2 linked regions of the Bombyx mori genome follow. The protein of the gene in region 1 binds, or shares a complex with, the protein of each later gene. Links are inferred from orthologs where the notes say so. Each region holds a gene or a part of one and is shown in the gene's direction. Other genes may lie near its edges.

Region 1 (3,838 bases):
CGACGCCGCCAGCCCCACGCCGCACCTCGCGCAGCAGCGCCTGCGGGACGACGGCCGCGAGGAGCGCGTGGGCACCGTGCTGCAGCAGCCGCTCGCGCTCGGCTACACCGTGTCCACGGCGCCGCTGGCCGGCATGCCCGCCTGGTGGTGGGCGAGCTGCGCGCACCTGCGGGACGCCTGCCCCGCCTTCCTCAAGACCGCGCTGCACCTGCACTCGGTGCACGGCGCCGACGACTACGCGGCCTTCACCCAGCGCCGCGACCAGCCCGCCCACCCGCTGGACTCGCAGACCACCACGGACGTGCTGCGGTACGTGCTGGAGGGCTACAACGCGCTGTCGTGGCTGGCGCTGGACACGAGCACGCACGACCGCCTGTCCTGTCTGCCGCTGCACGTGCAGGTGCTCATGCAGCTGTACCACGCGGCGGCCGCGCTGGGCTGAGCGACCCCCGCGCTCTTGTTCATGGTTACCATTAGGGCCTTCGGTCGTTGTTGGGCCGTGTTGTATTCAATTAGTTTGATGATAGTGAAAATTAGGTCGTTACGTGAGATTGAATGTTTCGGTGTGTTGTCTTAAAAATATATATATTTTTTCAATGTGAACACTTAATGTAAAGTATCTACTTTACATTAAGTGTTCACTTAATAAAAATAAAAGTTAAAATAATCAGAAAATAGCGTCCTGAAAATTTGTGATGAACTTCATTGTACTGACTCACCCTGCACTATGAATTAATTTAATCAATTTTTTCACAATACTCACGATAACAGATGATTGACCGTCCTAACGGTTAAATTATGTGAAGTTCCGATCGAGCAGTATTAAAATAATTATCAATTATCGGGACCCAATATCCTGTTTAAGCATTTTCTGGTCATAGAATTATCACAAATTTTGGAGGATGCATACATAGATTATTAAAAAGAAATTGACAACTACAATTACCCCGATTGAAAGTTCAATCGATCAACATTTTCAAAACTATCGAACATCAAAGATATACATTTTACATTAATGATGAAAATCCATGTTTTTGATGCAGAGGTTACATATACTTTGGTTGAACGGGAACGACGTTTACTTTATTTTGTGATATTTTTCCTACATGAATTTAATAAATGGATTTTAATGTATAATGAGTAGTAAAGCTATACAAGTTTTTGGAAAAAATATTTCATTTCGATTTATTATTATGAAAATTGAAACCATCGTCGTAATGTTAGGGAAAATTAATCGATGAAATATTTAACTTGTTAATTATCTAACTGTATGTATTATATTATATATAAGAAGAAGTATTAAAACAGTTTTATAATGAATTTTGTACCAAGGAAATATTACAGAAGGCCAGTTATTTATAATCATGATTAAGACATTGAAATGAAAATCGTCTGGTTTCGAATAATGCACCAACTACGCGAATGAAACGAGCCGTGTGCTCACTAACGAATGAAATGAATTCTAAATATTTGGATCACTTTAGTGTCACTTTGACTCCGCTGAAGTCGGCAACAAACCATAACGCCTTCACAATGTTTGTACGTTATCGAAGTGAATTTATTTCTAATTGAAAATAATCGACAACGCAGTTTTAAATGTACGATTGGATTTCATAATATTATTATTATGGTATTTGACAAATTCCTACCTCACAAAGATGTAGGTCATTGATTGATCAGATTGAATTTGTATTGTCTAAAGTCTAAATTCGTATCCAAAGTGATTAATACTCGGAAGATGTTTTCAAGGCAAAAATCTTAAAACGGAACATGTGTTCGAGTGATTCAACAATTCGACTAGTTTTATAAGAACCGGAGGAAACATTGCCAACTGTTATAGATACGAAAATTATTATTTTTTAATTACTCAATTCTTCCTTTTTCTTTTATTAATAAAATAACGTATTTTGGCGTATTCATAAAGAAAAAAAAGTACGTGACGAGCGAGATTGCTTGTAGCGCTCGATTCATTAGGATTTGTCAAAACCCAACTTCCATTGCAGTCTTGCATTATTCTCACACGACTTCCCGCTCACTTGTTCCACAATACGAACCTCATTTTACGTAGTTTCATTTGCAAGTATATTTTATTTGATTGGCGGCCGTTAAATGTTTGTCGAGGTTTTGATTTTTACATTATTCGTTGAATGAATATCGATTGCGTACGGATTCGCAGTCTGGCGCGGCCGATGAGAATCCTTAAATAAATGCAACACCAAATAAGTATTTGTGAAGGCCTTTTTTTCTCTTTGTTATCAAATATGTGAAATTTTATAGCAATAATATTAGGTGATAGATAGATACAGTTTATCAGTTATCCAAACGTGAAATAGTTTATAATAAAAGAATATAATTTTTGTCTATATAGGCTTCGTCGACTATGTGATGATCGAGCGACGCGTAAAAACTTTGGCCTTAACTTAAAAAAAAAAAATTCTCAAATGTGAACGTCACAATTTATATGGAGGTGTTGTATTCGTTGTTGTGCTGTATGTAAATGTGTATAATGTAATATATTTCGTTATTATATTTAAACCGGTATGCATTACCAAAGGAGTTAGATACTTGTAGTCTTATAGATATTTTTACGAGCGTTTCATAAGCGAACGTCCACACGTCTTGCGAATTCTCATCTACACCTATTTATTTATTGTAAACTTGACACGTTTTTTTTTTTAAATCATTTTGTACGATTTTTTTACGGTTAAATGTGTTTACATTTTTGGAAACTATTTGTTTAGCTAAATTGAATTTCGTTTGTTTAAAAATCATGAATCCGTATACTATTGCACTCTTTTTATACAAGGGAACAAAGCTCAACGTGTGCTTCACGCATTAACGTCCGCATTGCACACATCCAACTAAAGTAATCAATTCAAATTACATAAGAGCAATGCGGTGAACATATTCTAAACGATTGATAGTTATATAAATTTGTCTTATGATATATAAAAAAATAAAATCTGCCGGTCAATAACTAATTAGTAACACCAATAGTTTATGATTAGATAAATTAATAATAATAATAAAAATAGTTATAAAAGAGCCCCCTAGTTCACGTTTGATTGTAGCATTTGTATTTTTAAAAAAATAGTTGTTCTCGTTTTTATATGAACGGAGCCCAAACTAAACGGCGTGACGTTGTTGTGTTGTCGAATCTCCGACTATTTGTAGTTATATGAAATTTTATATTTTAATATTATATTATTAAAATGTAAGCTTAGGGAGACGTGCTGTGAACATTCTCTGTACAGAAACATTGGGAGGCGTGAAGAAAGCCTTTGCGTGTCACTCTTTAATTCATCTTCAATTCTATACACAATATGTGGACAGCAGATTGGATCGCATGAACAAAACGATGTTGTAAATTATTTTTGTTGCTTAGTACCTAATGTTTACTTGTTTGAGTGGTAGACGCGATCGGTCGACCATAGACAATTTGTACATGTGTTGTGCGAGGAGCGATACATAAATTATTTAAATGTAGAGGCGGCTCGTCCGCGACTTACTGAATTATGCCTAGTTGAATAATGAAATGTTTTAAAATGTGTTACGGCATTTGAAAATATTTAATGATGTTGTATATAGTTTATATTTTTGTTTTTTTTTTTGTGATCGATATTTTGTACAGAATCGGTTTAAATAATCGAATAACCGTTAATAACGTGCCCGCATTGCCGACGTAAAATTTGAGCACGTTTTAAAGAAACCACTCGTAATACTTTGTACAGTTGTTAGCGTGATTCGTAGTTGAATGATTTAATTTTTAAGGAATTTTCGTTTTTGACCTTTTTTGTTATTGTGAATTTGTCTTTTTTAGGGAATTGGGAATGTTCTG
Region 2 (4,446 bases), on another chromosome or scaffold:
GTAGTAGTAGTAGTTATATTTTTCCAACTATGAAGGCAAAAGTATCATACCATACACCTTAATCGGTTATAATTTTTTTATGAAAAATGATAATATGAAGTGAAATGAAATGAAGATGATTAATTTGTAACATTAATCAATTGGCACGAAATTAAATGAAATAAGATGAGATGATATGGGATCCACTGAAAAAATCTCAGTAAATGACCACCATTTTTCTGAGATTATATTATTTCATGCTATATCATCTCATTTCATTTCATCCCGGTTGATTAATGTTACAAATCAATCGTCTTCATTTCATTTCATTTCACTCCATATTATCATTTTTCATAAAAATAAGAATATAAATTAAAATAAGACATGACTTAAAGGTCTTAGTTACCCGGACATAAATTACCATAAATAATTTGGCGGGAACGCGAGGAGTGAAGTTGTGTGATTTGTTTTTTTTGTCTATTTAGTGTTTCTTCAGGTTTAAATGTGTATTAACAGTGGCTTATTAATTGTTTAATATCTGTGAAAGCGCACAAATGTGGGAAAATGAAACAAAGCCGCTGAACGTAACTTCTCGGGATCCTCCAAAAAGTCCACTTCAAAAGTCTTAGTGAATGACCACCAGTTTACTGAGATTTGAAATATAATCCCATATCATTTCATCTCGTTTCATTTCACTTCGTTTTCATTGTATTTCATTTCGTTTTCATCTCATTTCATTTCTATAATTTTTCATATTAAACAAAAGTTTTCATTAAATTAAAATAAGACTTGACTTATAAGTCTTAGTTACCAGGTCGTAAAATCCCTTAAAAATATGCATATGGCTACTTTAATGATCACAGATGAAACTTAAACTTTTTGGCGGGAACGCGAGGAGTGAAGTTGTGTGATTTGTTTTATTTTGTCTATTTAGTGTTTCTTCAAGTTTAAATGTGTAATAACGGTGGTTTATTAACTGTTTAATATCTGTGAAAGTGCACAAATGTGGGAAAATGAAACAAAGCCGCTGGACGCAACTTCTCGGGATCCTCCAAAAAGTTCACTGAAAAAATCTTAGTAAATGACCACCATTTTACTAAGATTATATTCATCCTATATCATCTCATTTCATTTAATTTCATCCCAGTTGATTAATCATTTTCATTTCATTTCCCTCCATATTATCATTTTTCATAAAAATAAGAATATAAATTAAAATAAGACATGACTTAAAGGTCTTAGTTACCAGGTCATAAAATCACTTAAAAAAAAGCAGATGAAACCATAGATTATACACTTAATTTATTTGAGAATGAAACTTAATTTAATTATTTAAGCTAGTTTTAGTGTTTTAATTTAAAGATTTAGGCTAGTATAGATATAATTTGCACTCATGAACTAGATATAACGGCTTTTTCACTAATTCACGGAGAATAATGTTATAACGTAGTGATTACTTGCTCAGTGAATAACGTCTTGTATATAACTTGTGAGGGAAGGTATTCAAAATGATTTAAAGTGTAATAAAATATAAATCCTAATTAGTCAGGGATCCAAACTGCATTTCCCGACCGTAACAATGGGAGACAACTTTCAAAATAAGACCATGGCGGCTGTGATGATGGACTACGATTTCAAAATCAAGACTCAAAATGAACGTTCCAAAGTGGAAGACTTGTTCGACTATGAGGGCTGTAAAGTAGGTAGAGGTACATATGGCCATGTATATAAAGCCAGAAGGAAGGATGGCTCCGATACCAAAGATTATGCTTTGAAACAAATTGAAGGAACTGGACTTTCTATGTCAGCATGTAGGGAAATTGCTGTAAGTATAAATACAACATAATTATTTCATTTAAGTAATTTGTTTTTAATTTTAAATAAAAATTTTAAATTTTAAATAATTTATATCTGTATAAATGTGAATTTATTACCATAATAATATGTTCTATGGGGAGTGCTATGAGGAACTGTTTGAAATGATTCCATCATCTCGTTTTTACCATCGCACCGCCGACCACCGAAATAGAGTTTGTCCACACTACCTTGAGCCACTCAGTTCATCCACAGTGTGTTTCCATACATATTTTTGCCATGTACCATACGGCTTTGAAATGAGCTCCCCTTCATGGTGTTTCCGAAGCGCTATGACATGCCCTTCTTCAAACGAGGGCTGTGGAGAGTACTTAACAGTAGGCAGGGGCTTGGCTAAGCCCCTGGCTGAAGTCCATGGATGACGGTAACCACTCACCATCACCATGTAAAAAATTTGCATATTTTGATTCTTGTTTCTATTATTATTTCAAATAATATGTTCATGGGATATTACACCTATTTTGATTGTGTTGTGTTGTATAATTATTGTGTACTGTAAACAAACATTGCATTATCAGCTGTTTTTCTACTTCATATTCGGTCTACAATATAGTAGTGTGGTTTAGATCATAATAAAAAAGTTCGTGTAACAATTTATTTTCTAGCTATTAAGAGAGTTGAAACATCCTAATGTCATAAATCTTATTAGAGTGTTTCTTTCACATACTGACCGAAAAGTCTGGCTGCTATTTGACTATGCAGAACATGATTTGTGGCATATAATCAAATTTCATAGAGCAGCTAAAGCTAATAAAAAATCAGTTATGGTGCCAAAAGGAATGGTGAAGAGCCTCCTCTATCAGATATTGGATGGGATACATTATTTACATTCAAACTGGGTTTTGCATCGAGATCTGGTGAGTGTGATGTATATAGTAATATTTATAATGATGAATCGTTCACATACTATGAGTTCATGTTGTATTGAAATTGTAATTTATACTAAATTAGATAACATAATATATAAAAGTATAATAAATATTATATTAAATAAATTACTATAATTGATAGAAATTCTACTGTTGGCCTGGAAGAGATTAGAAAGACTAGGACGGCAGTCTTACTAATCTCTTTTTGTGTTGAATGATGTGCATTTGTTGTTTTTTTATTTATTTATTACTAGCTGACCCGGCAGACTTTGTAGTGCCTCAATCGATAAATAAAAGACCCAAACTTTTGCATAAAATAAACTTAAAACAAACAGAAGGAATCCGTCCGACGGGGGACATATCAAAGGAAAAACAAAATTGTTATTTTTATTTAATTCCGAACATTTTCATATTTATCTACCTTTTAAACCTCTGGACTTCCACAAATAATTCAAGACCAAAATTAAGCCGTTCTCGAGTTTTAGCGAGACTAATGAACAGCAATTATTTTTATATATATAGATTATTTTGGTGTACCATAAATCAAACTTAATGAATCGATAAATATTATTTTTGTTCAATATCAATATATGTTATTTACAATTAATACTCCAGAAACCAGCCAACATATTAGTAATGGGTGAAGGACCGGAGCGTGGCCGAGTTAAAATAGCTGACATGGGATTTGCAAGATTATTCAATGCACCTTTGAAACCACTTGCTGACTTAGATCCAGTAGTAGTCACATTTTGGTACAGAGCTCCTGAACTGTTGCTTGGTGCCAGACATTACACTAAGGCCATAGGTATATATTTTATTACTCTTACAATAATTCACCTACAGCCACATAAAATTAAGTACTTACCTTTTACTTACTTAAGTAATTTTTACTTAATTGACGTCTACACTTGGCAGGTAAAACACCTTCTCTTCAGCATGGAATTAACAACTTGGTAGCACTTTATTAAATTCATCATTATTTAAATAAATCCCAAAAAGCTTAGAAAATAAAAACTATTATACTATTTTCATTTTTGGATTGTTACTTAACATAGCTAAAATTCATCTGAAATTTCAGTAAACCCGGTCGGTAATTGTGCATTCTGTGAACTACATACCATATCAGTAGTTCATTGTAAACATAAAATATAATGTAATCGAAGAAGAATATAGAAAGATTCCCACCCCATGACACTTGTTCAAAAATATCAGGATATGGGACTGCAGTAGGCCAAGGCGGCACTCAATTATTTTGAGCTCATGAAGTATAGACTCATTGGTGCAAAATATTATATGTGTATTGTAATGTTAAAATGTTGTTCTTTCACGTCAATACAAACCAATGGATTGACATGATTTTTTTTAAAGTGAAAGTATTCATACTGATACTTTTCCTGGACGAAATGTGTAGAGCCACGGTTTAAAACCAAGTCAAAAGAGATGTAAAAAAAAAAGTAATTTAAGAAAATCTCATTTATTTGCAGATATTTGGGCCATAGGATGTATATTCGCAGAACTATTAACATCTGAACCTATTTTCCATTGTCGCCAAGAAGACATTAAAACAAGCAATCCATATCATCATGATCAACTAGATAGAATATTTAATGTTATGGGATTTCCACTTGAAAAAGATTGGGAAGATATAAGGAAAATGCCAGAACATGCAACACTAGTTAAGGATTTCAAGAGATCAAAGTAAATTGAAAAACAAATATTTTGA

Evidence for each region.
Region 2: mediator of RNA polymerase II transcription subunit 13 (region 1) and cdk8 share a complex: the UniProt entries of both Drosophila melanogaster proteins name them as parts of the cdk8 module of the Mediator complex. The link is inferred for Bombyx mori from reciprocal best matches to the Drosophila melanogaster genes skd and Cdk8.

The regions. Positions count from the first base shown.
Region 1 is NC_085116.1:2,029,007-2,032,844, forward strand, and holds part of mediator of RNA polymerase II transcription subunit 13, read left to right. Parts: coding exon 1-442; 3' UTR 443-3,838. UniProt on the Drosophila melanogaster protein: Component of the Mediator complex, a coactivator involved in the regulated transcription of nearly all RNA polymerase II-dependent genes.
Region 2 is NC_085129.1:10,513,006-10,517,451, forward strand, and holds the start of cdk8 (cyclin dependent kinase 8), read left to right. Parts: upstream 1-1,320; 5' UTR 1,321-1,558; coding exon 1,559-1,804; intron 1,805-2,459; coding exon 2,460-2,711; intron 2,712-3,338; coding exon 3,339-3,528; intron 3,529-4,207; coding exon 4,208-4,421; intron 4,422-4,446. UniProt on the Drosophila melanogaster protein: Component of the Mediator complex, a coactivator involved in regulated gene transcription of nearly all RNA polymerase II-dependent genes.